7 linked regions of the Kluyveromyces lactis genome follow. The protein of the gene in region 4 binds, or shares a complex with, the protein of the main gene of each other region. Links are inferred from orthologs where the notes say so. Each region holds a gene or a part of one and is shown on either strand. Other genes may lie near its edges.

Evidence for each region.
Region 1: MRPL22 (region 4) and MRPL50 share a complex: the UniProt entries of both Saccharomyces cerevisiae proteins name them as parts of the mitochondrial large ribosomal subunit. The link is inferred for Kluyveromyces lactis from reciprocal best matches to the Saccharomyces cerevisiae genes MRPL22 and MRPL50.
Region 2: MRPL22 (region 4) and MRPL32 share a complex: the UniProt entries of both Saccharomyces cerevisiae proteins name them as parts of the mitochondrial large ribosomal subunit. The link is inferred for Kluyveromyces lactis from reciprocal best matches to the Saccharomyces cerevisiae genes MRPL22 and MRPL32.
Region 3: MRPL22 (region 4) and MRPL39 share a complex: the UniProt entries of both Saccharomyces cerevisiae proteins name them as parts of the mitochondrial large ribosomal subunit. The link is inferred for Kluyveromyces lactis from reciprocal best matches to the Saccharomyces cerevisiae genes MRPL22 and MRPL39.
Region 5: MRPL22 (region 4) and MRPL49 share a complex: the UniProt entries of both Saccharomyces cerevisiae proteins name them as parts of the mitochondrial large ribosomal subunit. The link is inferred for Kluyveromyces lactis from reciprocal best matches to the Saccharomyces cerevisiae genes MRPL22 and MRPL49.
Region 6: MRPL22 (region 4) and MRPL10 share a complex: the UniProt entries of both Saccharomyces cerevisiae proteins name them as parts of the mitochondrial large ribosomal subunit. The link is inferred for Kluyveromyces lactis from reciprocal best matches to the Saccharomyces cerevisiae genes MRPL22 and MRPL10.
Region 7: MRPL22 (region 4) and MRPL40 share a complex: the UniProt entries of both Saccharomyces cerevisiae proteins name them as parts of the mitochondrial large ribosomal subunit. The link is inferred for Kluyveromyces lactis from reciprocal best matches to the Saccharomyces cerevisiae genes MRPL22 and MRPL40.

The regions. Positions count from the first base shown.
Region 1 is NC_006039.1:791,080-795,209, reverse strand, and holds MRPL50 (mitochondrial 54S ribosomal protein bL9m MRPL50), read right to left. Parts: upstream 2,132-4,130; coding exon 1,727-2,131; downstream 1-1,726. Other genes in the region: KLLA0_C09086g (uncharacterized protein), read left to right, coding at 115-1,341; RSC6 (Rsc6p), read left to right, coding at 2,681-4,066. UniProt on the Saccharomyces cerevisiae protein: Component of the mitochondrial ribosome (mitoribosome), a dedicated translation machinery responsible for the synthesis of mitochondrial genome-encoded proteins, including at least some of the essential transmembrane subunits of the mitochondrial respiratory chain.
Region 2 is NC_006042.1:1,181,611-1,185,743, forward strand, and holds MRPL32 (mitochondrial 54S ribosomal protein bL32m), read right to left. Parts: upstream 2,078-4,133; coding exon 1,520-2,077; downstream 1-1,519. Other genes in the region: KLLA0_F12804g (uncharacterized protein), read right to left, coding at 1-1,041; septin CDC10, read left to right, coding at 2,621-3,634. UniProt on the Saccharomyces cerevisiae protein: Component of the mitochondrial ribosome (mitoribosome), a dedicated translation machinery responsible for the synthesis of mitochondrial genome-encoded proteins, including at least some of the essential transmembrane subunits of the mitochondrial respiratory chain.
Region 3 is NC_006038.1:66,152-69,897, reverse strand, and holds MRPL39 (mitochondrial 54S ribosomal protein bL33m), read right to left. Parts: upstream 2,176-3,746; coding exon 1,960-2,175; downstream 1-1,959. Other genes in the region: transcription elongation factor SPT5, read left to right, coding at 1-1,656; TIF35 (translation initiation factor eIF3 core subunit g), read left to right, coding at 3,106-3,746. UniProt on the Saccharomyces cerevisiae protein: Component of the mitochondrial ribosome (mitoribosome), a dedicated translation machinery responsible for the synthesis of mitochondrial genome-encoded proteins, including at least some of the essential transmembrane subunits of the mitochondrial respiratory chain.
Region 4 is NC_006040.1:701,707-706,069, reverse strand, and holds MRPL22 (mitochondrial 54S ribosomal protein uL22m), read right to left. Parts: upstream 2,616-4,363; coding exon 1,716-2,615; downstream 1-1,715. Other genes in the region: RPS3 (40S ribosomal protein uS3), read left to right, coding at 1-445; SHR3 (Shr3p), read left to right, coding at 865-1,473; TDA7 (Tda7p), read right to left, coding at 3,017-4,183. UniProt on the Saccharomyces cerevisiae protein: Component of the mitochondrial ribosome (mitoribosome), a dedicated translation machinery responsible for the synthesis of mitochondrial genome-encoded proteins, including at least some of the essential transmembrane subunits of the mitochondrial respiratory chain.
Region 5 is NC_006042.1:1,308,455-1,312,504, forward strand, and holds MRPL49 (mitochondrial 54S ribosomal protein bL21m), read left to right. Parts: upstream 1-1,866; coding exon 1,867-2,349; downstream 2,350-4,050. Other genes in the region: SAP185 (Sap185p), read left to right, coding at 1-538; enoyl-CoA hydratase PHS1, read left to right, coding at 904-1,548; mitogen-activated protein kinase kinase kinase BCK1, read left to right, coding at 2,667-4,050. UniProt on the Saccharomyces cerevisiae protein: Component of the mitochondrial ribosome (mitoribosome), a dedicated translation machinery responsible for the synthesis of mitochondrial genome-encoded proteins, including at least some of the essential transmembrane subunits of the mitochondrial respiratory chain.
Region 6 is NC_006039.1:1,032,683-1,037,345, forward strand, and holds MRPL10 (mitochondrial 54S ribosomal protein uL15m), read right to left. Parts: upstream 2,193-4,663; coding exon 1,263-2,192; downstream 1-1,262. Other genes in the region: KLLA0_C12111g (uncharacterized protein), read left to right, coding at 49-1,089; WSC2 (Wsc2p), read right to left, coding at 3,075-4,346. UniProt on the Saccharomyces cerevisiae protein: Component of the mitochondrial ribosome (mitoribosome), a dedicated translation machinery responsible for the synthesis of mitochondrial genome-encoded proteins, including at least some of the essential transmembrane subunits of the mitochondrial respiratory chain.
Region 7 is NC_006039.1:834,455-838,857, forward strand, and holds MRPL40 (mitochondrial 54S ribosomal protein uL24m), read right to left. Parts: upstream 2,102-4,403; coding exon 1,211-2,101; downstream 1-1,210. Other genes in the region: HNT3 (DNA 5'-adenosine monophosphate hydrolase), read right to left, coding at 8-979; CDC31 (centrin), read right to left, coding at 2,403-2,906; NIP100 (Nip100p), read left to right, coding at 3,175-4,403. UniProt on the Saccharomyces cerevisiae protein: Component of the mitochondrial ribosome (mitoribosome), a dedicated translation machinery responsible for the synthesis of mitochondrial genome-encoded proteins, including at least some of the essential transmembrane subunits of the mitochondrial respiratory chain.

The sequences.
Region 1 (4,130 bases), on a different chromosome or scaffold from region 4:
TGTATATAGATTCTACTATAGAATTATCTCTTAGGCAATTGAACCTAACCTAAAGCCAGTGTTGTCTTTTTCCTTTGATTGACCAATACAGATATCTAAAAATTATCAAGAAAGATGTCAGCAATTTTGGCGCCATTGGCCAAAGCTATTGACTATGTTAATGCATTGAACAAAGACTTTTATATCCTTTCTGTTGAAGAACAAAAGGAATTAGGACTTTGGGGCAGAGTGACTGCTTATAATTGGACCTTTGAATTGGCTTGCATTGGTCTCATGGCTATCTTATTTTTCATTTCTTATTATGGTAAGACTCTGAACAATAAATATGCCGATAAGATATTTGGTACTTTGAACACATTCTTGTTAACAAAGTTATCTTTTACAAAGGTTGGTTTTAGTGCCGATGGCAAGAAGATGCCATATATTGAGGAGCAAAATAACACCTGGTTCACATCTTTTGCCACTGGTCGTTCTACTATTGAAAGCGTAATTGTTAAGGCACACTTGACGGCTCGTCACAACCCATTGGCATTGTTAACTCAAAAGGCATTAGCTTTGTTTTTACCAACATTAGTTGCCAACGACATTGAAGAATTCATCTCAGTTACCATTACTCCAAATGGCCAATTCGTCTCTACTGAAGATGCTAAGCTAACTGCCAACTCAGCGGAAACTTTGTCCAAATTGAAATTCATCACATCTATCGTTAACAAAGCAGTGATGACTAAAGCTCGTGACTCAAACTACTTTTTATCATTGACCCATACCGCTGAAAATGAATCTTTACCAGCAGACTATGTTTTCATGTCCGAATCAAATAAGTTGAACGGATTTATTCCTCACTATGCCGGTGAAGATTTCAAGGTGTTGCTATCTAAATCTGCCAAGTTCTTGAAGTTTATTTCTTTCACTGATTTACCAGAAGAGAAACCGATTACTGACAAATTATGGGAGTCTTCTCAATTGCCACGTTGTGTCATCTACTTATCCTTGGTAACTTCTGACAAAGATATCGAATTGTTGGAGGAATTGATAACCAAAGTTGTCGAAATTTATGACAATGTTACTAAGGATATTCAAACTAACTCATCCAATTCTTTCATCACCACTGATATTTTGAAGAAGGGTATTCAATTGCGTAAAGAAGAGTTAGGCAAGATTGTTAAAGTCATGCAACAGGTTGAAAGAGAAATGGCTCTTGAAAAAAAACAAGAAGCTGAGAGACAAAAGAGAAAGGATATGAGAGACAAGTTGACCGACCAAGAACTTGATAAAATGGAGTTGAAGAAAAGAGAAAAGAGAGAAAGACGTCTGAGAAACAAACAGAAAATGAGAATTTAGAAAGTTCATCACTATTGGGGTTGTTTCTCATTCTCGTCTCTTTATTTCCAAAGCAACAGTTAAAGCTGATCAAGAGAAATATGCTCGTCCAGGTGATGAGCGTTCCTGTAGTAATAACTCTCTTGTCAATCCCCATTTAGTATGAATCATCCAGATCTACTGTCCACGTTATTACTTCAACTGGTAGCGATTGGATGCAACGAACTTTCTTTATTGTTTTCGCAAGTTATTTTAATGTAATTTATGTACAAGTGTATGAATGTGCCTCTGAACCGCAATGGGGACGAGACGTCACGAACAACATCCATGATCATTATTATTTTGTAAGACATTGGTATCTCAAATGATCCGCGTAAGGAGGAAAAAAAAGATAAAACATTTACTATCATAAGTCTAATCCTGGAATCTTCACATTCTCGATAGTTATTTCTTCGTTTAATGCTGACTTAGGAGTTTCTGGTGTCTTATTTTCTTCCTTGGATACCTGCTTAGCCTTCTTTACGTTCTGTTCAGTCTTCTTCACCGTTGATTCGGTTGTTTTTAATAAAGCTGCTGCTGATGCACGTGATCTCTTAGCTGAGGTCAACAGGGCTTGGTCAATATCAGTTTCCTTTAGAATGTAGCGGGCTCCATTATAGTTGTGCAAGAAGTTTCTCATTAGTGAGGGCTTGACATTTACCACCTCGCCGGTATGAAATTGGAACTGAGGAAAATCTTTTAATAACTGTACCTGTACTCTCTTTGTACGTTTGGTTAAGGCAGAAAGACACGATGATGTCGGTCTGAACATTTTGCTGTAATATTTTAAAAGCCCTTGGAGCGTGTGCAGTTATTGGAATAGCACTTCAAACACAATTGACGCTATTTTTAATTCCCTGCTTATGGTTAACTTTTAGATTGATCTTGTTCTAATGTGATTTTAAACTATCAAAAATTTTTGAAGCTTTAAAATCATATCTAAGTGCCAGCCTAGTTAAAAGATGTGTACATAAAAAGAAGATAAAAGATTGGTTTAGCGAGTGACAGCCGTTCATACTGTACTACTCCGTGTTTGTAACCTTTGAAATACTTATTTATAAATGAACTGCGTAATGGATACAATCTAACCTAATACGATTCGCTATAAAGTATTGTATGGGTGTATGGGTGTATGGGTGCTTTCGTTGTTTCAACATCAGTTTTTCGAATTATTCAATCAACCTAAACAAAGCATTCACTAGCTTTTGGTACATTAACTTACATGCATCAACTTGTATAGATGAGACATATCATCTGCTTACCTCCTAGTAGAATAAACTAAGCTACCGCTAGATTGAGATTAAAGAAAAATCAAAATCAAATGTCTGCGGCACAGAGTGGAGCAACGGTTGAACATCAACAGGCACAAACTGTGCCAGTTGCACAACCAACTGACATGTATATCCAACCGTATTTGAAGAAATTAATACCAGAATTGGATGGGCTAAGTAAGTTACAAGAGGCTGAGAAGAGAATTGACATATATTTAAGTCGTAAAAAAATTGATTTGCATCAGAATATTACTCAATGGACTCATTCCAAATACACAGATCCTGCGAATAATCAGTTTGTTCGTGTTTTCATTTCTAATATTTCTGAGAACCAGCCATGGCAGACGAACGATGAGACCATGGAACTTGATCAAGCATCATGGACATTGCGTATTGAAGGTAGACTGTTAGATAATGGGAAGGCAGACGATCCAAATAGGCCTAAATTTTCCTCCTTTATAGAAAGCGTCGCGATAGATTTCAAACCTGTAGAGGAAGATCAAGATGATGAAACTGATCAAGAAATGGGAGACCCCTTATTAGAAGGGACACAGGAACCTAGTGCTAAAAAGCCAAAAAATGAGCAAACCGTTTTTGAATGGCATGTGGATCCTAATACTCCTGTAGAGTTTGACGGTGTTGATGTTTCACGTAAGGGTACTGAAAACGTTAACTGTACCATCACTATCCAACCAAAAGGGTATACAGGGGAGTTCTTACAGTATTCACCAGAACTATCATGTATTGTCGGATTCTCAAAAGGAACCTTTCATGAGGCGATATACTCTCTTTACAAATATATTCTATTAAACAGTCTATTGACGAATAACGACGAGGCGGGACCAAAGGATTCCACAAACGGTGAGAAAGTCTTAGTGAAAATGGATGCTTCATTAGCAAAGCTAGTGTCTCCAGAAAGGCTTGCCGCAGGCATTGTTTCTTTGAAGCTCGCCGATTTGCCAAGTCTAGTGAAAGATCATGTAAAACCGATACCTCCAATAAGACTTGACTATACTATTCGTGTAGATCAGTCTTCCACTTTCGGAGATTTGGTATTTGACATGGAAGTACCTAAATCAACGTCAGTTAAAGGCGACCAAAAGTTGTCAAAGGATGAATTATTGCTATTGAATGAATACAATACGCTATCAACTGCAATCGAACCACAAATACAAGAACTAAATCAGAAAACACAACTATTACAACTACAACTAAATTCAAGCGCAAAGAAATACCAATTTTTTGATAAACTAGCTAAGGATCCAGTTCCAATGCTACAAGATTACATGGAATCGTCATCGCAGGCTCTCAAAGTGTTATCAGGGGATGCTGGCTTCAATGAAGATACAGTGAGAAGATCACAATTCTACCAGGACAACGATTCAATTCTTTTTGAAAACATTGGAGTTCTACTTTCAAGCGGAAGAATGAAATAATTTCATTCAGTATTTTATCGCTTTCATCATAAATATATGTATACCGTATACAACGTATACCTTG
Region 2 (4,133 bases), on a different chromosome or scaffold from region 4:
CATGCCGCTCAAGCCTGTATTCCATGCAGAAGTGTGATTCGGATCCTTATGGAAAGTGGATCCGCTTCTTGCTGGACCGGCAATTAGCCATCTGTGATCAGGTCGACATTTGATTCCTTTTTCTTGGAACAATTTGAAGAAATCGTTATGGTAGATGGAAGGTGGAGCATACTCTTTACTCATCAGCTTTAAGGCAGTGCTATTACAATCGAAAAGGTACAAAGGCGACTCATCTCTATTTTCTCTGAAATAGTAGGAATATAATGAGAGGTCCCATTTCACTGCTTCTTGGCGGAATATTTCATGGGGATATCTCTCGACTAAATCGTCCAACGTCCATCTTGGCCATCTTGGTTTCCCCTCCGAGGTAATACCATCTTTGTTTTGAAGAATGAAAGGCTTATTGATAAACTCTTCATGGAAAGTTGCCACATCAAATTCTGTCTCTTGCATTCTAGGTACTCCAAACTCTGTGTTCAGACATGTACCTAACTCATACGAACTCGTTTCGAATTCAATCACTTTTTTGAAAAGCTCTGTATAATCGATCTGAGAACATTGATATGGTCTATATAAGGTGTCAGAGAACAGAATATTATGACACTGTATCAATGCTTCTTGGTCTACTTTCAAGATGGTCTTTCTCCACGAGCCCCTCCACCTTGAACATCCAAACGGCGAAATACGCTCTTGCTCTGGACTTTCCGATTCCAACTTCAAGTACTCCTTGGTATAAATCTTTCTCCATAGTTCCTCATCGTAGGTGTACGCGTAAAGGATCCTAGAACTACATCCGAGGTTCTGCAAGTCATTTGGATCATCGATATATGCGAGTATTTCGATTATAAGATCTTCTGGTAGCACTGACAGAGAGCCTAACAGCTTTTTCCTAAGCTTTCTAGTTTCCTGAGGATCTGCACCCTCTAATAAAGAATTCCCGCTAGGTTTTACCCCTAACGGATGCGTTGGGATGCTGGTAAATACAGGAATCCTGTAATTTGGCACCTTTTTCACTTTCTTGAACTGTCGTGTCGTTGTCATACTGTATGGAAAATTGTCAGCCTTATTGTCAATTTAAAGTGAAACAAAACAAAACAACCAATATCAGACCAAACTGTTAAACTGATGCCAGTTTTCAGGTCCTGCTTAATCCTGTATCGTGTATTCGCACCTCATCTCATCTCATCGCTACTTCAAATCTTTTCACTCATGATTTTTTTCTTTTCAATCTGATCTTTTCTCGACTGATTTTCACGCCTTTAGGCCTGGCATCAAGCCTGCTCTAGGAAAATTTTTGTATGTGATTTGATTCTATGTAGAGTTGATTGTGATGAGATAATGAATCTAACTATTACTACAGGAGGTGAATGCTGACACTGAAATAACCTGCTAAAATCTGGGACGTGTATTCGACATATATATACAAGGTGATGGGGGGATTGAACTTGATAAAAGGTTGTTTTTTTTTAGTCATTTCCGCCGATGTGTTATTTTGTACTGGATTCAATGAGAAGAGGGTTTAATGTGATCCTTCTTTCTTCTCAGATCTCTCCACTGGCAGAGTTTTCATACGTCTCTCCAAATAAGCATCCTTGTCCTTCAGTTTCTTTGTGTATTCAGTTTCTTTTCTACCAGGATACAAGATACGCTTGTCCAATTCAGACAACTCTTGTTCTTGAATAGGCTCCACTTGTTCAACGTTAGTGTGAGCCTTCCAGATGTGACGGATTTCACCCACACAATGCATACATAGCGTATGTGCCTTCTTGTAATGCCCACATGAAGGGCATTTGTTCAAATGGTTGATCATTTTCAGCTGTTTGTCTCCAGGCGCATATAACTTTTGTCTCTTCTTCTGATGCGACACTTTCTTCTTGGGCACAGCTAGAAGGATCCCGTTATTCGTAAAGTAATCCGCTTGAGGTGAAGACTTTTCACGTTGGTTTCTTTCAAGCAATTCCAGCAGTTTCTGTGGCAATGCAGTACCAGCTGCTGGAGTGCTCCAACGAGGCAATATTGATGTCGCTGTTTCCAGCAACACTCTGCTAAAAGATTCCGTTACAGCTCCAAAAGACATCCTCTAATTATTTTCGCTGCTGGTATGATACTATGATGAAGAGGAGAAAGGATAAGTTCAATCGATAGGGACAGATACTAGTTTCTCTAGGTCGCTCGTCTAACTCTGTTTGAACTTCGTCAATTCAAATTGGTATTGACGAATTGGATTATAAGAAAGAATTTTCAACATTACCCTGATTTGGTGATGATCTGTGTCCCTTTTTCGATTTCGATGAAAAAGACGAAAAATCACAAAAACTAAAAATGGAACTCGAAACGAAATAAGTGTGTCAACAAAATATAAGTAAGGAATCAGATCTTGTATTCTTTAGAATAAGTAAGATTGTGATTACTTTTTTTTGACGTTTCTGTGGTTAATTGCTACTCATTGTTTGAATTTTTGTTATTGCGGTTAATTGTTTTTATAACTTAGAGGTTTTTCATTATTTTAACTTCCAAACACTAAAACACGTAAAGCTTTGATCATTTGGATTTGACTTATATACATCTCTACTACGCGAAAGGAATTATTAAAGGTAAAATACACGCATAAACAAAAACAATGGCATCTAGTACTGCTGCAGCTGGTATGACTTCTTCTTCTGATGGGTTGGCTTTGGTAAATCCATCTTCTTATGTTGGGTTTGATTCGATTACTTCACAGATTGAACATCGTTTGTTGAAGAGAGGATTTCAATTCAACGTTATGGTCGTTGGACATTCTGGTCTGGGTAAGAGTACTTTGATCAACACTTTGTTTGCATCTCACTTGGTTGATTCTTCTACTGGTAAGGACATCACTCAGGAACCAATTAGTAAGACCACCGAGATCAAGGTTTCAACACATTCTTTATTGGAAGACCGTGTACGTTTGAACGTGAACGTGATTGACACTCCAGGTTTTGGTGACCAGATAAATAACGACAAAGTTTGGGAACCTATTGTCAAGTACATCAAGGAGCAACACTCTCAATATTTACGTAAAGAGTTGACTGCTCAACGTGAAAGACACATTGTAGACACTCGAGTACATGCAGTGTTATATTTCATCCAACCTAACGGTAAGGGTCTAACAGAACTTGACGTTGCTGCTTTGAAGAGATTGACAGAAATCGCTAATGTTATCCCGGTGATCGCTAAAGCTGATACTTTGACGTTGAATGAGAGAGCTAACTTCAGAAACATCTTACAAGAAGAATTTAAAAAGTACAATTTCAGAATCTATCCATATGATTTAGACGATCTGACCGATGAAGAAGTGGAACTGAATAAAAGTATAAGATCTATTATTCCATTTGCCGTTGTAGGATCTGAAAAGGAGATTACAGTGAACGGTGAACTAGTAAGAGGAAGAAAAACTCGTTGGGGTGCCATCAATGTCGAAGACATCAACCAATGTGAGTTCGTATATTTAAGAGAATTTTTGATCAGGACACACTTGCAAGATTTGATTGAGACTACAGCTTTGATCCACTACGAAAGTTTCAGATCCAAGCAATTGATTGCTTTGAAGGAGAACGCCAACGCTAGAACTTCTGCACACATGTCTCAGACATCAACAACAATGCTGCGTTAATAGGTGGAAAAAAGAGCCGGGAAGACTTCTAGAAGAAACGGCGTCTTTATTTCAAAAAAATGTAGCGTTTTACCGGTACGCAAGAGCTGTGCCAATTATTTTTTTTGTGTTCTTCACTGGTTTGAATCCTGCCCTAGTAAAATGTCGCTTCATTTCCATATATCTTATTGATAATTGGTAATGTCTCTCTATTTCTACTTGTCAAACGTCTCTTAATCTCTTTTTTATATATCACATTCTCTTTTTAGGATTTATAAACCCCATTAGTTAACTATAATACTACATCACGTATAACCAACTGGTAATTAAAGTCTAAGAAATTGGACGGTGCTGTTGTCCTCCCATTTTTGTACTGAGCAGATGTATGCGAATAAATTAGTGTAGACAAGCTCCAGAGTAATCTACAATGTATCATCACTGCATATTAGTGTCTACATGAAGACATTCAGTGTTTAAATTTTATTCCAGATACTAAAATGTTCTATTTTGTCATATCCTC
Region 3 (3,746 bases), on a different chromosome or scaffold from region 4:
CAAGCTTCTAAAGCTATGTTTCAACCAGGTGACCGTGTTGAAGTGTTGACCGGGGAACAACGTGGATCTAGAGGTGTGGTGACTAGAAGTTCTAAAGACGTCATCAGCGTTAAACTATCGGGCTTTTCAGATAAATCATTAGAGTTCCCAATTGCATCTCTAAGAAAAATTTTCGAACTTGGTGACCATGTCACAGTAATAGCTGGTGAACATGAAGGTAACGCTGGTTTGGTTCTTTTGGTGCAGAACGGTCAAGTCACATTTGTTTCTGACCAAACTAGAGAAAATTTGACAATCTCTGCGAATAACTTGAGTAAATCTATGGATTCTACTCCGACATCAAGCGAGTACGCTCTACATGACATTGTTGAGTTAAGTGCCAAAAACGTGGCATGTGTGATCCAGGCTGGACATGATATTTTCAAGATTATTGACGACTCCGGTAAAGTGGCTACTGTTACTAAAGGCTCAATTCTTGCCAAGATCAATGTAGCAAGAGCGAAAGTAGCTGCTGTCGATGGTAATGGTAGAGAAATAAAAATTGGCGATGTAGTAAGAGAAAAGATCGGTTCCCGTAGAGAGGGACAAGTACTCTACGTTCAAAACCAACATATTTTCATTAGATCGAAAACAATAACGGAAAATGCCGGTGTTTTCGTTGTTAATCCAATGAATGTCGAGGCTGTCGCCTCAAAAGAAAACTTGATGTCGTCAGCATTGGATTTATCTAAAATAAATCCAAATATTGCGTCTAAGATGGGACCACCACAAACTACTCAGCAGACGCGGTTAGTTGGCCGTGACGTCGCTTTGAACAAAACTGTTAGGATACGTTCTGCGGGATACAAGGGGCAGTTGGGTATTGTCAAAGACGTCAATGGAGATAAGGCTACTATTGAATTGCACTCCAAAAATAAGCATATTACAATAGACAAAAGAAAACTTACTTACTTCAGTCATGAAGGTGGTGAAGGTATAACATACGATGAACTTGTTAGTAGACGTGGTAGAACTCCACATACCAGATTGGGCCCAAGCTATGTCAGTGCACCAAGACACATGGCTGCCGGTGGTGCGGTGGCAACGAACACTCCGCAACAACTTCCTGGTGGAATGACTCCTGGTTGGAATGCATTTGATGGCGGTAAAACTCCTGCGGTTGGCCAGAACGGAGGAACTTCATCCTGGGGTGGTGCTTCGACATGGGGCGGACAAGGCCCTGGTGGTGCTTCTGCCTGGGGTGGAGCTGCTGGAAACACTTCCACCTGGGGTGGGCAAGGTGCTACATCAACTTGGGGTGGTGCGTCCACTTGGGGTAATAAATCTAGTTATGGAGGCGCCTCTTCTTGGGCAGCAAGCGGAGAATCAGGAGCAGCTTCTGCCTGGGGCGGTGGCAATAAATCAAGCTATGGAGGTACTTCTACCTGGGGTGGTAACCAGGGAGGTGTCTCTGCCTGGGGTGGCAGTGGTAATAAATCACAACGATCTAAAAACACCGGTGGAAGTTCCACTTGGGGTAACAATCAATCGCAGCATAACTCAGGAGAGAGATCCGCATGGGGCAATGCATCCCAACACAACAATAGCGGCAATAGATCTGCTTGGGGTAATCAGGATGCTAGAGGTGGTGGAAGTACGTGGGGTGGAAATAATTAGAAATAATCATACAAGTTATTGCCTCACGATAATTTACAAACCTATCAATTGTTCATCTTATTATCTCCAAATTACTCCACGCGATGTGGATGTTGTATATATAGTCTTGCCCAAATTAGTCTCAGAAACCAATTAAATAAGTGAATTAAGTAAATGTAATTTAGTTAAAAATTTCGTTTCTTTACTACAAACCGATACTACTATAGAACTCTTAAATCACGTCTATTTCAACGGTAGTTATTGCAGTGTGAGTGTTTTCTATATACATGCAAATGGTGTGGTTAAATTGTTAAATACAATTCATTAACGTCTTGCGGTACGTAAGAAGTCCAATGGTTTCCTCTCTGCAACCTTTCTTTTCTTGGCCTCTTTGAACAAAACATGACGTTTAGCTACAGGGTCGTACCTCACCTGCGTCACTAATGGTGCAGCTCTATTTATCGTGACATGACGGCTCACACCTGTCATAGCAGTTGATATCAGTTTGATAACTGTAGTCTTTGTCTTAGCCTTGGCCATCGTTTTCCTGTTCGTTTGCAGTTTATATATGATATCCTTAGCTCTGTGAAATTCCTTGAATTTGAATTTGAGACAGAGAAGTACGCAGGATAATATTACTTTCTGCCCTTAATACTTTCCGATGATACACCGTCCTATGCAGAAATTGATGAACTCCCACTACTTTCAGTATTGATTGGGTCGGATACATTGCTAAAGAAGAAGTAATGGATAATCAAAATTTTGTCAAATCACTACATACGTTTTGATGAATATGCAATATACATAAAAATGATCCGTACTTCATATCACGTGAAACAGATACATATTCACAAGTCAAGTTAAGTATTCGCATATAGTTACTCTACGCTTTTATCAACAAGAAGGTATTAACTGAATTGATTGGTGTACACAGTACGGTATAATTAAGGTAACTAATTAGTGCTGGAGCTTACGGATCTCTGTTACACCCGTGCAACACGATATACATTACTGATGAAAATTTTGAAAATTTTCCAAAGCTCATCGCATAGAGACAGAGGCAAAATCAGCGAAAGAGAAGAGAAAAAAATGGAAATTCAAATGAGTTCTAAGTTACCTGCTAAAATAAACGTAATGGTAAGGTGACCCTAGAAGGTGCATAGGGTTTCATCCAGCTGTTTGATAGAAGAAAGGAGTATACTGCGCCAAGTGTATCCGATTTACGTGTTTCAATAAAGAACTGAAACAAAAATTTGAGACTATCATCTGTGCGAAGTTTTTTTCTTCAAAGAGAATTAATTGATATCGATCAGATTATCTACAGACCCATAACTTGAAAGGAGGATATTTGACATACCTCAAATCAGAATTGGGCTTCTTAATTGTTGATAGTATAACACGCGTCTAGAAATTAAAGGAATTTTTTCTACAATCCTATTTTTTTAAGGAGATAATACAAAGATTCACAACATGTCAGCTATTCCTGAACCAAGAATCATCGAGAATGACGATGGTTCCAAAACCGTCATCAGTTTCAAAATCCAAGATGGTAAGAAGTACAAGGTTACGCAGAAGGTTAAGGAAATTACTGTCACCGAGAAAGTTAACAAGAACATCGCCTTGAGAAGAAATTGGAAGAAATATGGTGCTGATAAGGGAGCTGCCCCAGGACCAGATATTTCAACCACTCAATTAGGTGAAGAATTAGAGTTAGACTTGTCTCCTAACTGGAAGGAAATGGAAGAAGAAAAGGCAAAGGAGAAGGCTGCTAACTCGACTCAAAAGGTAATTACTTGTAGAATTTGTGGTGGTGCGCATTTCACCATGCATTGTCCGTACAAAGACACTTTGGGAAAGAAACCTACTACATCTGCTGGTTTAGACCCGGCTATCGGTGGTGGAGATATGAGCGCTCAAGGAGGCTCTGGCTCTGGCAGATACGTGCCACCATCCCTACGTGCTGGTGCTCGTGATCCATCTTCTAATGCTTACCAAGACCAAAGAGAACGTGATGATGCAAAGACTATTAGATTGACCCAGGTTAACGAACTTGCAGATGAAGAAGTGCTTAAAAGAGAATTACTCTTCCCATTCGGTGAGATTCCTAGAGT
Region 4 (4,363 bases):
AGTCCATGACCGTGGTTTGTCCGCTGTTGCTCAAGCTGAATCCATGAAGTTCAAATTGTTGAACGGTTTGGCCATCAGAAGAGCTGCTTACGGTGTTGTCAGATACGTTATGGAATCTGGTGCCAAGGGTTGTGAAGTTGTCATCTCCGGTAAGTTGAGAGCTGCTAGAGCCAAGTCCATGAAGTTCGCTGACGGTTTCTTGATCCACTCCGGTCAACCAGTCAACGACTTCATTGAAACCGCTACCAGACACGTTTTGTTGAGACAAGGTGTTTTGGGTATTAAGGTTAAGATCATGAAGGACCCATCTAGAAACACCTCTGGTCCAAAGGCTTTGCCAGATGCTGTTACCATCATCGAACCAAAGGAAGAAGAACCAGTTTTGGAACCTTCTGTCAAGGATTACAGACCAACTGAACCAGTTGAAGCTGCTGAATCTGCTTAAATCAATTGATATCTGTTTGATTCTATATTATTAATTAGTCTATTAAATACCGTTCTTATATGTATAAATATTAAGAAACTCATCAATTCTTTTAAAAATAAGTAATCTATGCCCAGATGACATCGATTAAAACGTCCTGCTTTTATCAATGGATTTTTAAAATGATTTATCGATAGCGCCTTCCGATAATGCCTTTCCGCCTTTCAGTTCCTTTATCTTTCATACTAATCAAAAAAATTCGGTGGGCAAAAATCATGTAAATTATTAAAAAAAAAGAGAATATATAGTGCGTACTGAAAAAACCAATGGCTCAATTATAGATGAATTGTTAACCATTTAATACCACACGTAGGGTCTATACGTTCCATTTTTAAGAGAACGTAGGTATCGCTCACTAAACACATTGACTGAAAGTAAATATGGGCCTAACTTATAAGGATTTTTGTGCTGTAGGTACAGCATTGATCATTGGATCAACTACTTTTTTGATGGGGATCTTCTTTTCTAATCAACCATATGACTATAATATCCTATTCAATCCTGCTGCCACGCCGGAGCATTTTGAGAACGCTTTGAAACACTACCAGACTCTATTCTACACGGCCAAGCCAACCCTTTATATGCTTGGTGCGGTGGCCATTGTGGGAGTCATTGGTTCCTTGATTAGGGTATACAAGCCAAATCCAGATTTGCAATTATTTGAATACGGTTCATTGGCTTTGTACGTTTTGGGTATCTGTGTTTTCTTAACAAATATCAAGACCGGTGTTGAATCTGCGGTTTACCATAACTGGGGTGAAGTCTCTGAGGCGCAAGGTATTGCTGTTGTTGCCTCTTCCAATATCATTATTTTAATTGTCTTTGCTGGTGTCTTAGTGTTGCAAGGAGGTTTGTGGTACAGTACCTGGGAATATGAACAAAGATTAGATCAATGGAGGAAAGACCAATTGAAGGAATCTGCCGCTAACCAACAGAAGGCGGAGAAAACTACTGAACCAGCTAAAACGGAATCTAAGAAGAAGAAATAGACGAAATTTGTTTCCTTACAGTTTGATGCGGTGAAGTATTTCGCGTTGCTTTCACTATTTACAAGCTCTTGTTCTATATATTATATAAATGATATGAAATACTTGGCTATTCCGACATGGATAACTTGAGATGAAACCCAAAGACAATCTAAGGACCTTATTATTGATGATTTAATTGCTGTATATTATCTTCACCCATTATCATTGGAAATAAACGTAATATGATAATGTTTAATATCTCATTACCATTTGTAAACACCACCCATAGAACCTCTGATGGGTTTATCTGCTAATTGAACCCACGGTTTCTTCCTTTGTTCTTTTAGTTTGGCTTCGTGCTCTAGTCTTCTCTTCGTTACACTCTTGGTCTTCAATATGCATTTGATATGCACATATGGGTGTTCAATGAGACCACGTCTACCTCTACCCTTCCATTCGACACGTTTTTGCCAAAATCCATCACTGCCGGTCCATATCTGGGAGATGTATAGGTCATTGGCATCCAAGCCAAGCTTCACACCATCATTAATACCGCGCTCCAATAATTCGGCAACATCACGGGCAACCTTTTTATCGGAGAAATGACATTGAGTCAAAGCTTTCTTAGCGTCCAATCCGTTCAAAAGTCTAAGCAGCTGTGTGGCCTTCTTCATAGATGATTTTACTCTGTAAGATTTAACATAGACACTAGGTTCAAGCACTTCTAATTCTTCATTCGTTAATCTCAAAGAACGATCTTTAGGGCGCACGCTTTTGTCGTAAAACCCACCGTTCAACCTAACCTGTTGTTCATAGAATTCCTTCTTAACTCTTGGTAACAAAAATTCTGGTAAACTTTTGATCATGGGGTCTTGTTCTTCGATATATTTCTGTAATTGTGTATCATTGGCTGCTGTAACTTTCTTTTTAGCCTCTGCCAGCTGGGTAGCAGCATCCAAATCATCTGACAGTTCGGTAGCAGTAGTCAACTTATTAGATAGTTTATTTGGATCGTCATCCTTCAACGGATTCACTCCATCGGTGACTTCACCGAATAGCGAACCTTGTGCAGATTTTTGTAGCTGCAATGCTGAAGCTTGAAAACTTCTTACACCGGAAGCCTTTCCCAAGCCGAACAGGCTAGTTACTGTCCTCGATAGCATTAAATTTTATATAGGTTGAACTGATGACAGAGCCTGCAACTAACCATGTAATTTACACGTGCCTCTAGTATTATACTGTAGGCATTTTATTACTTTGATCAATCCTTCTTCTGTACAATGTTTGATTATCAAAATTTTTTTGTTCGATGGTTAGGAAATATAAATCATCGTGAACGGGCATGAAGATATAAGGAATGGTTCTACTGTGTGGAGGAAGATATTGAAGTCCGACTATCTTGACGGGTTGTAAGATCACAAATTAGAAAAGCGTTAGTGTGGAATTGCTAGGAATTAAACCTTAAATATGAACTATATAACTGAAGATGCACAAAGAAGTATATTGAATAGAAGGGAAAATTTAAGTACAAATTTGAAAACTTTGTAATTAGAGTTTGGTAAGATCAGTGTTCGATTAGTTCCGTTAAATATCCGTGAGCGTTCTGTGGGTTTTCATCGTAAGTAACTGACATTTCAGTGTCATGTGTACCCTCATCGGTGGAAGATGACACAAAGGATGAATGTAGTGATGTTGTGGAAGGCGTCTGAGACTCTGGATCTGCAATCGATACAACATATTCGTCGTCGAATGGATTTGTCGTCTGTGGCCTCCTGACAGAATCTGCAACATATGGAGGCACTGAGGGCAAACTTTTTGAAACTTTGTTATTATTATGAGCAGTCGTCGATACTCTGGTTGTAGTCTTGGTGGTTTGCTGAGACTGTGCAATAAACGTTCCGATATCGTCGTATCCCATTTTTCTCCCAATGTCGTGGGAGAAGCTCTTTTCGTGTTCGATAAGATTTCTCCTTCGTCTCTTCCTAAATAATAAATAGATCACCAGTATCATTAGCGCCAGACCTCCCACGCTTCCTATTACACCACCGATTATTGTATCTTTATTTGATCCAGACGATGTTGAGTTGGAATCCAATGCGCCAGATAGCCATCTTTCGTAAAAAGATGTGTCAGTCACAACTGGACCTGTAGGTGTAGTGAAAGTAGCCTCTGTGGGTATCACTGTAAGTGTCGGTAGTCCTTTAGTAAAGGTGGTTGAAGTGTCAGTAAAGATGAAATCTCGTGTGTAATAAACCACAGTTTCAGAAGACGGTACTTCAGTGGTCAACGTTAACCAAGTCGGTGTAGGCACAGTGGCAGTAGCTTCTGTACCCTCAACAGATGTGTATTCTTGGGTCGCGGTGTTCTCGGGATAAATTGTTTGCATTACTATGTTGCTCGGTCCTGAGCTCATCTCAAGTACCGTCACCATTGCCGTGTCTACATCTGTATGCGACGTTGAATCATCTGTTGACGGCGGTACCCAAACTGTAGATGGCGATACTATGCCAGGTGAATCCGAATCCGAATGTGATCTGTTTGGATATACCAGAACCGTCCTGGTCTTCATACCATGTGGCTGCTGCGTAGAATTTCCTGAGTCAGGGTTGATGTAATCCGTTCGTAAACTAGCAACGCTTTGTGAGAACGACTCCGAACTTTCTGTCAGTGTATCTGACGAAGAAACAACAGATGAATAATCAGTACCGTCAGTGGTAGTGTTGAACAACATCTTTAGGTGAACTGGCCAGTGAGATCCTGTTATAGATCTTGAAATTTAATAGTTTCCTTGGTACAACTGCTTTACGCTTGTAACGGTTTTTCGGTAAAAAAAATGATGTAGCAATCGACTTCACCCTTTCTCAAGCAACTAGCAACTTATGTATCGTCACCCACTACCTTATAAGTCCTG
Region 5 (4,050 bases), on a different chromosome or scaffold from region 4:
TAGCAACTACATGTCAAATCAGATTAAATCCGGCTTAAACATGGCTGACAATGCCGAGGAAGAAGACGAAGGAGACGAAGAGGAAGATATTTGGAATGGTGAATCATCCAACACATTCCAACCGCAAGTCCCCAATAAAACCTTCTTCAACAGCTCCATGTTCCATTCCCACCAATTTGATCTGTCACCTGACGATGAAGAAGATTATTTAGATCCTAACGACGATGGGCAATCTTATGCAAAACCAAACCATCCTTTATACTCCAGCATGTTATCACCGGGTGGTATGCCCTACGATGCACCAGACGAAGAACTCAACGATCTTGATGTAAACGACGATGATGAGGACGACGACGAAGATGATTTCGATGCTGATACTGATGTTGGAACACATAGCGGCATTTCTCATCGTTCGAATGAATACTCCCTGCGTCGTACTTCCAGTAATGATAAGATCCCTTACGATCTCGCTGAGCAGAGTAGTAGAGCAATGGGAATGCCTGCTTTGCAAAGATCAAGCTCACATGATACAGATTAACAATGCAGCCTTATCCCCAAACACGAATCCTTATCAACACAAATTGATATATAATAAACATTTACTTTTCCTCTGTTTATCGTTAGTTCAAGTAGTAATAATATTAATAATAGTAATAGTAATAATAACATACGAGTAACACTAATTCAAATCTTAATTCTCATGTCATCAATACATACTGCAATTTGTTAATTTGGGTATTGTTGGATTTCTCTTCCTTTTCGTCTCAATGCATCACTTAATTTTATGAATCTGAAACCATGAATTCTTGTTATTGACAAAAACTGGTCTGTTTAGAACCGAACTGGATCTTAATAAATTGAACCCCGAAGTCCAAAGAGCCCACCAATACACTTTCACACCCAATGGCATCATCTAAGGCTTCTATCTTCTCCTTCCTTCCTCTTTACAACCTACTTTCTGCTTCTGCCTGGGCTTATGTCCTATATCAAGTCGTGACCCTTTACCCAAAGATCGGTCAACCAAGTTTCTTTATTGCTACCAAGGATTTAGTCACGTACGTTCAATGCGGTGCTATAATTGAAGTCACAAATTCTTTGTTTGGAATAGTCCGTGCTCCGCTAGTGACCACTGCTGCTCAAGTGGCCTCTCGACTCTTGGTAGTCATCGGTATCTTCCAGTATGTGCCGGAAGCAGAAAATGCGCATAAAATATATTACATCACGTTGTTGTCGGCATGGTGTATTGCTGAAATAGTGAGGTACATGTTCTACTTCTTCAACTTGGTGGCTCAAGCGCCTACTGTACTTGTTGTATTGAGATATAACATGTTTTACGTGCTATATCCATTGGGCGTCGGCAGCGAATTGTTCATAATTTATTCTGCATTGCCGTTGGCTGAAGCAAAATACAATATCTTGTACAAGTATTTCTTAATTGCAGGTATGCTAGCCTACATTCCAGGGTTCCCGGTGCTATTCTCACACATGGTTGCCCAAAGAAGGAAGGTCATGAGATCCTTGAACGGTGATAAACGCAAATCTGCATGAATTGTCACAGGATTAAAAGAATAGTTTGACTCATGTATAAAAGTTCTGTAACATTTGTAACATACCCGAATGAATGCACAAATGAAACGACGCTGTCCCTTGGCGTGGCCGTTGGCTCTTCCTTCTCATGACTGTGTGTGTGCCCTACTTTTCACGTCACGTCACGTGACTGACATCAACACTTAACTCTCGAAGGCTCAAAAAATTTTCTGTTGAAACAGTATACGACTAGTTGAACAACATTTAAGACAAGTGAGAAGAAGCAGATTGAAAGGGCTATTGCATCTGCCAATTGTCGTTCGAATCAGTGCAGAAACGATGTTCAAGAATATCAGTCATATGTTTGCCCTCCCAGTAAGGCAAATGGTGGGTTTCAGCCCATTTCTTCAACCTTTGAAGAGAAGTTTCATCAGAACAACACACTCGGTAGCAGAAAAAGCGAAGGTGAATTTAACGCCGTTGAAGTTATCCAATGAGCTATATGCCGTATTCAGAATACACAACAGACCATACTTGGTGACAGAAGGAGATAAGGTTATCTTACCGTTTAAACTGAAGCAAGCAGAGGTCGGCGATGTGCTAAATTTGACTGATGTGACTACCATTGGTTCTCGTAACTTCAAGCTCGTGGACGAACCTATTGATCCATCTCTATACACTATTAAGGCTACAGTTCTTGAGAAGACAAAACGCCCGCTTAGAGTGAGAGAAGTTACCAAGAGAAGAAACAGGAAAGTGCGTCATGCGGTCAATAAAGCCGATTTGACTATTCTGAGAATATCCGAGCTAAAAGTCAATTAATGAACTAACCCTCCTACAAAATCGTGTAAATAAAAGTTTAATATAATGTTAGGTCGTTATAGATCGATTAGAAATACTATACCATCTAGTAACTATGTTTTAGTGGCAGCATCTCATCGAATTTGTTAGAAACGTTTACCGTTTTAGAGAATAGATATAAATTCAAATAGAAACAATTGTAATTAATACCATTTTAATCGTTAATAAAGAGGGGAGAAAGACGATAAGAGAAGAGCTTAGTGCAACAATTACTGGGTATCGATACTTTAGTATCTGATAAGTAAAGTCCCGCTAAATATAGATGAACCGTGGATGATATGTCTTTCTTGAAGAAGAAGAGTAGCACTGCTGGACATTCAAGGTCAGGATCTGCCTCATCTATACTCAACAAACATGTTGATCCTGCCAATATCAGTGAGTTTTATCCATCGTCATTGGATCACAAGGTGACCAGTGGTTTGAAGAACGATTATAGTTTTGATTCCAGCAGCAAGGGATCCAGGAAGTCCTCTGGTGGGAGCACCAATTCGTTAACATCTGAGCGACTATTATTCAATTGGGATGTCACTGATCCGAGCCAGTGGACGATGCCCAGGATAATACAGTGGTTCAGAGCTAACGATTTCAACGATCAGTGGATTACATTTTTCAAGAGGAATAGTATAAGCGGGAATAAGTTCTTGAAACTTCTAGCTTACGATAATTTTGCACCATACGAGAAGTCCTTACAACAGTCCAAGAGTTCAAGTTACGAAAGGTTTCAGTACTTATTGAAGAAAACGCTGGAAGAAAACGTGGTGAAGGGAAACAACAGGAATGGTAATCGGATTATCAATAATTCAAGGTCGTCGAGTGAGTCTGCTAAGGTCAGCCAAAGGTTATCGACATCTTTTTCTACCCATATAAGAAGTACATCAGAATCGGCGCTGTTGAATATTGAGAATATTACGAAAGACAGTTCTTCTAGTGAACCTACCACATCAAAAAAGCAAGAAGCAAGCAATTACAGTTTACCCTTGAGGCAGGCAAAGACCAATAGCGCAAGTGCATTATATAGACGAAGCTTGATCAGCTTACGAAATGCATCATCTACGAAGGATAACGCATCTAAGAATGATATCAAGATAACTATACCCCCAAGACCTCTATCTACGACAGAAAATACTAATAAATCACCGACAACACCATCATCTGTTAGTCCCTCTCATACAGCTTATACCGGTATTTTCAGGCGACAACATAAGACCAGTTCTTCGGAATCCTCCCTGTTTACTTCGATTTTTGGACATGGTGTGGTTGAAGAGCCTGAGGAAACTCCTAAACCCAGACCAGTTGAAAATAGAAGGATTCCTGCCGCATCTACAGTAAATGCATCTACTTCGAAACAGTCGATTAACGTAGATGATAAGGCTAGGTTGTGGGATAAAATTAAGCGAAAGGGACAATTACCGGCAGAACCTTCTTCTCAGCCAGCAGCAAGAATAATCATAGAGGAAGTTAAGGAATCGCCAAAGGCGGAACCACCAGAAATTGTGATACCTGAAGAAATATACCCAAAACGACCCTCAGATTCGAGGGAACTCTTCATTATGTTGACGAAAGATAATTCAACTTTCAGTCCGTTCAACGTCCAACCTCATCTTGGTACGGATGTCAGTGAGCTAAAAAAAGCTGTGGCTCTAGCACTTGGGTTAACACATT
Region 6 (4,663 bases), on a different chromosome or scaffold from region 4:
TGGCTGTGTCGTTTTTCGAACACCAACTGTGTCTCAATTTACACCATAATGAAGTTTGTATCGAGACATTTCGATATATATTTCCCTGATGCAGCATTGGATCTTGGTGGAATTCCACCAGCAACTGGCTGGTTGACCTTCACATACGTTGCTTGGACTATTGCTTTATCAATTGTCAGAACTCGGTACATCAAGGAGGCACTTTCCAATGATATGGATCCAAGATTGGTTATCGTTCCATTTGTCCAAATGGTGCCAAATAGGGTTTTCTATAACCCACTTTCATTGGTATTTTCCAATTTAGTCGACATAGAACCATGGAAGTTTTTGCTAAACTTCTTTAATTTGCTTATAGGTGGTTCATTCATTGAAAGGTTCTGGCAAAGCCCTAGAGAATTGGCCAAATTTGTTCTAATCTTGGGTACCATTACGAACTTAATTGTCGTTCTAATTACAATAATTTTATCAATGTTTTCGTCAGCAATAAGGTTGGATTTACCATTGGATGGTAATTATACAATTTTGGTGGGGTTCCCTATTATCTACAAACAGTTATTCCCAGAAACTACCATTTTCGAGACTAAGAATCTACCTTTCATTTCCAAGAATTTCAGATTTAAACTCCTGCCAATATTTACTCTACTTGTGCTTTCGTTTGTGCAACTTCTGTGGTTCCACCACTTCTCTCAGTTATTATCAATTTGGATCACTTTTTTCACCTGTTATTTCTACTTGAGATTCTATCAGAGGCTACCTGCTTCGATGGCTGAGGATGCTGAATTTGAAGTGGTAGGAGATGCCTCTGAGACATTCCAATTGATATATTTCTTCCCGGATTTAGTCAAACCAGTACTTGAGCCAATATTTGATTACCTTTACCAGAAGTTTATTGTTGATTGGCGTATTGCAACTCCGTTTAGAGTATACGATATCGAACAAGCTAACATTTTGGCTCAAAAGAGGGGTGCTAAGCCTGTTGAAGGCTCTGAAGCGGAAGAAAGAAGGAAAAAGTTAGCCCTACAGGTTCTCGAAGAAAGATTGTTGGACAACAAAAACACAGAGTCTTCTACTCCACAAAACGATGTGTAAAAGTGAGACAAGCTCATTCTTATATTTTTAGACTTTAGAGCATTAAATAGACAAAAGTTGCTACAACTTGTGAATACAGATATCAATTTGATTGATATGGTGTATAAATCTGGAGAAATGGCGTTGAATGATGTGTATTATATACAGGGCATTTCTATATTGCTATATGATGTTCAGTTTGATTTAATTTCAGAATTTGGAGAAGCAGGAGCAAAATCGTTCTCAAGTTGCTCTAATTGCAACTCAAGCTTGGACTTCTTGGTCTTCCGAGCAACCAAATTTTTACCGCCTTCATCTTTGGATTTCTGCAAAAGTTGATAGTATGGGTCATTTTCCATAATCAAATAACCTCTCTTTTCTTCGTTACAGTAATATTCAATATCCTTCCTCTTTGTGGGTCTAGCTTGTAGAGGAACTCTTCCGTACTTTTCTAGGAACCAATGTGGTGATAAATGGGCTCTTAGACCAAGACGGTTGAAATAACGAGCAGTGAAACTTCCGCCTGCATGTTCGATTGCCTCAATTGCATCCTGTGAAGCTCTAGTAGCTTCAATCTTGATTGGAAGATTATAAGAGAATTTACCATCACCTAGAATCTTAATACCATCTTTGATCGGGCCGGTAACCAAACCGATTTCTTTCATCTTTTTCATCGTCAAGGTTTCACCTGGCTCCAAATGTAGGCGACCCTTTTGGTGGAACCACGTTATTCTATCAAGGTTTAATTCTTTCAATTTTAGTGATGTTACGTTGGTGAACCCTAGCTTTGGGAACAATTTGAAGATTGGGGTTTGACCACCTTCAAACCATGATTTTACATAACCACGGGCCTTTTGACCCTTTTGACCTCTACCAGCAGTCTTACCTTTGCCACTGGATGGACCTCTACCCAATCTTTTGTAGTTCTTCTTAGAGCCTTCACCAGGTTTTAAACCACCAAGGATCGTGATTTGGCGTACAAATGATCTCTGTATAAGTGATCCAAAGGGATTCACCACTTTGTTGATCGAAAACATCGTGCTAGTATTGTGAGACCTCGAGATAGGGCTATTAAATATCGATAATAGTAGATATCCAGTAGATTCATTGAATATCCAAATCATCTCCAGTAATTTCTTGTAAGTTAACCATATTCATTCTAAAAAATTTTCGAAATTAGGTATTCGGGTAACCTTTTAAAATGCTGAGATTCGCTAGGACACAGAGGGAGCTTGGAGACGATAAGAGGGTATGCAATGCTGATGTAAGTGTTTAGATGCGCCTAGCAGATTGACAAATTGAAACAGCCGAAACTATTTCAGTAAACCTACTATTATTTTAGCATCACGTTTTTCAAAAATGTAGCTGTAACATTATAAACTGCGTATTCCTCAGTTCAAAATAGGTTAGGTCCACCAGAAAAGAATTGGTAGCAGGCAATAATCTCGTAGGAGTATATAGTGGTAAATTCTTTTTATGACAAGAAACAGCTTCTATGGCCAAGTTGGTAAGGCGCCACACTAGTAATGTGGAGATCATCAGTTCGACTCTGGTTGGAAGCATTTTTTTGGATCCCTTAAACAATTACCCTAGATGAAAATGTAGCACAATAATTCCCGACAGTAAACATGACAATTAACCATTATAAAGATACCTTGAAGTAAAATGTGAAGAAATTAAATGAGTATTATAACGTTATATATGTACATATGTGAAAGCCCAACTTATCAGTATAACATAAATCGTTTCGATATATTTTGTGACTTGTCTTGTTTATAGTGTTAGACAATTAACTGATCCTCAGTTGATAGTTTTCATTAGGGGTATCAAGTATCAGTAGTGAGTATGGAACATGGCTTATTGTGGGCCTTAGTTGATGTTTTATATTTGGAATATTTCCTTTTGGCGTTTGTTTTGTTTGACAACAACAAGGGGATGATATTGGGTATATCATGCTATTATCTTAGCGAAATGTGTTAAAAAGATGATGTTATATTGTATCAGGATCAATCTCCCCTGAGATTTTCGATGATCGAATTGAATTCTGTATCCTCATCATCCAGCTCATCTGGATTGGCGATTCTTAGCGGTCGCCTTTGTTGAGTTACATCTGGTAAAGAACCATTGCTGAATCTAGGATTTCCCATTGTCGGACGTACAGGAGGTTGTGTTAGGTCTGGTTGATCCATAGTTTCTCCAAACGGACTAACGATTTGCGAATCACTGATTTCGTTTCCATTATTATCCAATCTTTTCTCCCTATTTTGACTTACACCAGATCTATCAGAGGATGATGATGCTGAATGAGAGTTTGGTAAAGTAGCAGCAGCGCCAAATCCACCTCCGGTAACTGGTGGGACTACGATGTCTTCTTCTTGACCAAACGAATAAGGTTGGTAATGCTTACTTTCCTCGAAGTCTGACCGTTTACTTTTCTTTCGCTGTTGCCAGATGAAGAAAATGATAATTGCTGCGATCAGTAACACACCCAAAACAACACCCACAACAATACCAGCGATAGCACCATTAGACAATGATGAAGATTTATTTGACTCCGTTTTAGAGTTTGCAGTGTTGGTACCTTCGGCTGTGGTTGCCACGACGGTACTTGTAGTTGTAACGGCAACAATACTCCTACTCTCACCATTTAAAGTAATGACTGAAACCTGTGTTGTTACAACTTTTGAATGACTGGTAGTAGAGGCGATGGAGCTAGACAAAGATGAAAGCGTACTATCAGTGCTAGAAGAAGTGCCTGAAGTATCAGAAGATGACGTTGTAGCGGCAGTGCTTGAAGAATCTGTTGAGGTTGCACTGGATGAGGTACTGGAAGAAGTTGAACTTGAACTTGAACTTGAACTTGAACTTGAAGTCGACCTGGAACTTGAGCTTGAGCTTGAACTTGAACTCGTGCTCGAACTGGAACTGGAACTTTCATCTGAGTCGATATCCTCTGTTGAATAGACAGCAAAGTACCCTTCACCACCACATTTTTCATATGGATAACCGACGCAATTAACTTGACAGTTTGAGTCAGAAACAGTTGAAGCACTAATGGAAGATGCATCACCGCAATAGCATGTGTTACCATCAATTAACGCAGCAACACTTTTCCCATTACATTGTTCCTGACAGTATGAGACACTTTGGTATTCGTATTCACCTGCACTGGACAGCGAACTACTTATATCACTTTCACTATAACAACCTTGATAGGAATACTGTGCAGATATTAACGGAAGCACAGCTAATAGAAGAACAGAACGTAATCTTGACATTATAGGAATATGCGTTGAGCAGTTTATTTTCTATTGCAATTGTCAAATAACGTACCCGACGTACAATTCACGATGGAAGAGAATGTTGATGATGGTTCTGACAAATATCGATTCCAAAGGACCGTTTCGAAAACAATTAGATAATTGCTTTGAAGGAAGTGTGCCAGAGAGTTTGTTTATATTGAAACTGTGATCTTATCCCGCAGTACCCAAACGAAACTGGTTGAAACAACTAAGAGTAACTATAATAACACCAATAACAACTGCTTATCCACTTTCACCAACCGTAAAATCAATTCTTAAAAATGGGAGGTACA
Region 7 (4,403 bases), on a different chromosome or scaffold from region 4:
GCCGTAATTATGAATCATTAGTAAATCTATTAAACGATGAAATAGCCCTATCTGCAGTTATTAAACCTTTTTTTGACACGAAACGCATATTAAACTCATCTGCTAGATGCTCCTTAAGCTTTGCAAACCGATTCTTGAAGTTAGTGGAACAATAGGGGCATATCATCTCAAAGTTCTTGATATACCTTTCGGATAGCTCCTTGTCACCAGGCAAGTCCAACACAGGTAGTTCATCCCATGGTATAAAGAACGGGGAGTTGAAAGAGTTGAAATGCTTTTTGTGCTTTAATTTCTTACTATGGAAATCTCTTGTCATGACATGTATATGTGTATTAGCCATTGATGGAGTGCTATGTACTCCTGATTGGACAAAATTCGCCAAGAAAGCTTCTTTCTCTTTCAAGGATATATCTTTTATGTCATATTTTTTTATGAATTGAGTCCAACAGAATCGTTTAGCCCAATCAATATGCCATTGAAGCTGCACCTTGATGCCATTGTCGATTGTGGTGGGATGAGAATTGCTGATCTTATGACTTCTTGGCAAAACTAAAAAATGTTCTTCAGATTTAGGGAACTTATCATGTATAATGGTCGCTATGTCGTCAAAGTAGAGTACTTCAGGCAATCGTTCTGGACACAAAACGTACGGTCTGAGACCTATGCTGAACGAGTTCTCCCTGTTTTTCTCGTCACCATGGGCGTTTGGTACATAAGTGGGTTTGAAAATCTGCAGATACTGATTATAAGTCATTCCAGTTGTGATTTGTGGATGGATTTTGTTCATATGGAAACCAATTAAATCTCTGTTCTTGCCGATGAACTGCTTTCGGCAATGTTTACAGTACACAATATCTTTGTTGGCGTCTTCATTTAATTTGAATAAATGAGTCGTAAACCCCGATTTATCTGAGATAGTCCATTGATCGCCTGGACTTTCCTTCCATTCTATAACATATATTGGACCGCACTCATCCATTTGTTATGAACTAGTAACAGTTATCTAATCATTTAGTCATTACTATAATCATAAATTGTTGAGGTCTGTTACTACAAGTAATGACCTTTACGTATAGATTTCCATTCAAAATAAACATGTAGTAAAAAAAAAAGTCAGATAAAAGTGCGATGAAGTATGATATTATGATCTATGTACAAGTAGCGTGGATACGAATGGCAGTTAAGTGCTAGCCAAAACTATTATTTATTCTTATTGTAATTCGAAAGATTTCTTGAAGTGTTGGTAGACCTTGTCACCAATCAATTCTTGATCTTCATCAGTCAATTTACGTTTTGGCAATGCTGCCAATTCTTTTCTTTGTTCGATGTATCTTTTCTTTGCTTCCGTTAGAGGCATTTTTGGAGCCACCAATCTTGATATTTCCTTCGTTGTCAAGGTACCTCTTCTGTATTTCGACTTAGGGTTACGGATGGTTGACAATGCTGCTTCTGGAACAGGATTTTTTACTACGCTTTCAACCCAGAAAGTTTGTTGACGTGCAATTTCAGAACGCGTAGCCAATGCACCATCTGGCTTGAACTCCGGCTTAGGCCATGGAACAACCATATTGTTCTCACCAACAACAACCCTATATGGCATAATTTTCTTGTAATCTGAATCATAATACGAACCCTTGAATTCGATGTCACGAACAGCAACAGTCTTAGCCACACCTGGAGTCTCTGGATCATCGAGATCAGCGACTAGTTTGATGTCCGCTTGGCTCACGGGGACAGGGAAACTCACCATATGACTGTTCTGCCCCTGTTGCCAAAATTGCTTGGGCACAGGAACAGTGTTGGTGGGTCCATTCTCATCCAAAATATACCCGTTTGTATGCACGTCGTGCTGCGTAATGGCACAAACATTGCCCTTAAACTTTCCATTTACTATCACCACTCTATCACCTGGCATATATTTCCATTGCTTTACACTCTTATACTTCTCGGATTCTTCGACACGAGGCAACGATGGTTTCAAGAACTCTGGCATCGTCAAACCTTCATACTTGGCAAATTGTTTCGCAATATTAGAGTTCTTCGCTTGAACTTGCTCCAAAAAACGGGCACCAGCCTTCGATAAATGTTTATATGAAGACATACCCGCTGATCTATTTTATTCTAGTATCGAATACCACCGTCCTTTTCACAGAACATAAACCATTTGTGGTTCATTCCATAGTACCATATTGATACATATGTCTTTCTTGATTCCGTTCCTTCAAGTTTTTCATCGACAAATTTTTTTGGAAGGGAAAAATGAAAGCACGTGATCCGAATTAGACTATCAGATTCTTCGCATTTGATTTAGTATTATAGCTTGATGTTACATAGGATATACAAGGTGAGATATACATGCGGCACAGGGCTCCAGCTGTGGCAATGGAAATGGTCGTGAAGCACTAATTGTCAGTGCATATAGCAATGAACTCTTCTTCATTGATCTCTCCGTCATCGTCAAGATCAAACTCATCAATCATGGCACGTAGTTCTTCGTCTGTAAGGTTTTCACCTAGTTCGTGAGCTACACGTTTCAAATTCTTCAATGAGATCTTGCCCGTGTTATCATCGTCGAATAGCCTGAAGGCACGTTTAATTTCATCCAATGGGTCTCTTTGCAATATTTTTTCTCCTACTACCAGGTAAAAATCCTCGTATTGTATTAACCGGCGTCCGTCTGCATCATACCTATCGATAAGTTCTAATATGTCTCCTTTACTGAGTTCAAAACCCAATGCCCTTAGAGCGACTTTGAATTCATGATAGTCGAGATATCCATCATTGTTCATATCAAAGAGTGAGAACGCCTCGTATATTTCTTGTTTCTGTTCTTCTAATAATTCCTTTTGTAAAGTGGATTTATCCACGGATTTCGCTACTCGTCCACTGGGCCTTCTGTTATTCATGTTTCTATGATCCGAATTGGGTTAGATTTCTTGCCGTTGTGAGTCTTGGCTGTAAGTCAATCGAACCTCTTAATTTACCTCTTTTGCTGCACGCGTAAACTTCGTGAAACTTCTTTAAAATATGTTTAAAGATTTCATGTTTATGATTATTTTGACAATATTGAGTTTAAGGAACATAAACACATATCCTGAAAGAAATGAAGGCAATAACTGATGAATACCTTACAGTACTGCCAGATCAACTACTCTTTAGTTCTAAAATGAAACAATGGATCTGGAATTAGGAGATAGGGTAGTGCTACGCAGCCTGGCAGGAACTGTACGGTTTATAGGCGAGACGCAGTTTGCAGCGGGGATTTGGATCGGTGTTGAGTTAGATGAACCCTTAGGGAAGAACGATGGTAGCGTCAAGGGAGTCAGGTACTTTGAACTCAGTGAGGGTAGAAAAGGTCGGATGTATGGTATATTCAGTAGAAGAGAGGGTATCTATAAAAATTCTGCACCGAACTCGCAACAATTTCAGGATCCTGATACTACGAATTCTAACTCATCAGATCCCGAACGATTGAAAAAGATCATTGGAAGATTGGAAGTTAAACTCAAGTCAGTTAATGACAAATGTATTTCGTTTGAAAAGGAGCTGGGATTGAGATCAAAAGAGCTTGAAAAAGTGCAATTTCTCGAGGAACAATTGGAGAAATTAACTTTAGGACGAGATGAGGCAGAGCAACGCAATGATTCACTGATATTTGAATTAGAAAGCTTGACCATTGCTCATGAAAGTGCTTTGAAGGAGCTTAATGATTATAAAGAAGAAATTTTAATAAGAAGAAAAGCAGACGTTGATGTCAACACTGATCAGATAGAATCAGTAGAATCAGATGCCCTTATCAAGCAAAACAGATTATTAACGGTTGCACTACAAAAGCTGCAATCAGACCTAACAGAAATACAGAAACAATGCAACGGTTTGAAAAATAGTAATGAAGAACTGCAAACCCAGGCAGAGACATATTTGCGAACAATATCAGCCTTAGAGAGTAAACTATTTGAAACAACAAAAACATTAGATGAATTGAAACAGCACTTCAGTGCGAATAGTAATTCTAATAACATCATTGAATCTCTTACTACAGAAAACCATCAATTAAGTACGGAGCTTGATTGTCTTAAGTCAGAGTTACTCAAGTTGAAACAAACTCAATTGGCAGATGAAGAACTAGAAGCACTTTATAAAGAGGTCGAATCGGAGCTAAATTCTCAAATAGCGAAACTTCAGGAAACTCTCTCTACTGACGAGAGCATAATTAACGCATTGAAGGAAAACAACAAAACCTTAAAGAATGAATTACAATCACTGCAAAATAAATCGGGGCAATATTCTCAAGAAATGTCACCAGAAGTTGAAGAATTACAAGCAGAACTTACTTCGTTACAATTAAGGAATAATGAGCTTCAATTCCAGAACGAGGTATCTTCTGCAAAGCTTAGCCATCT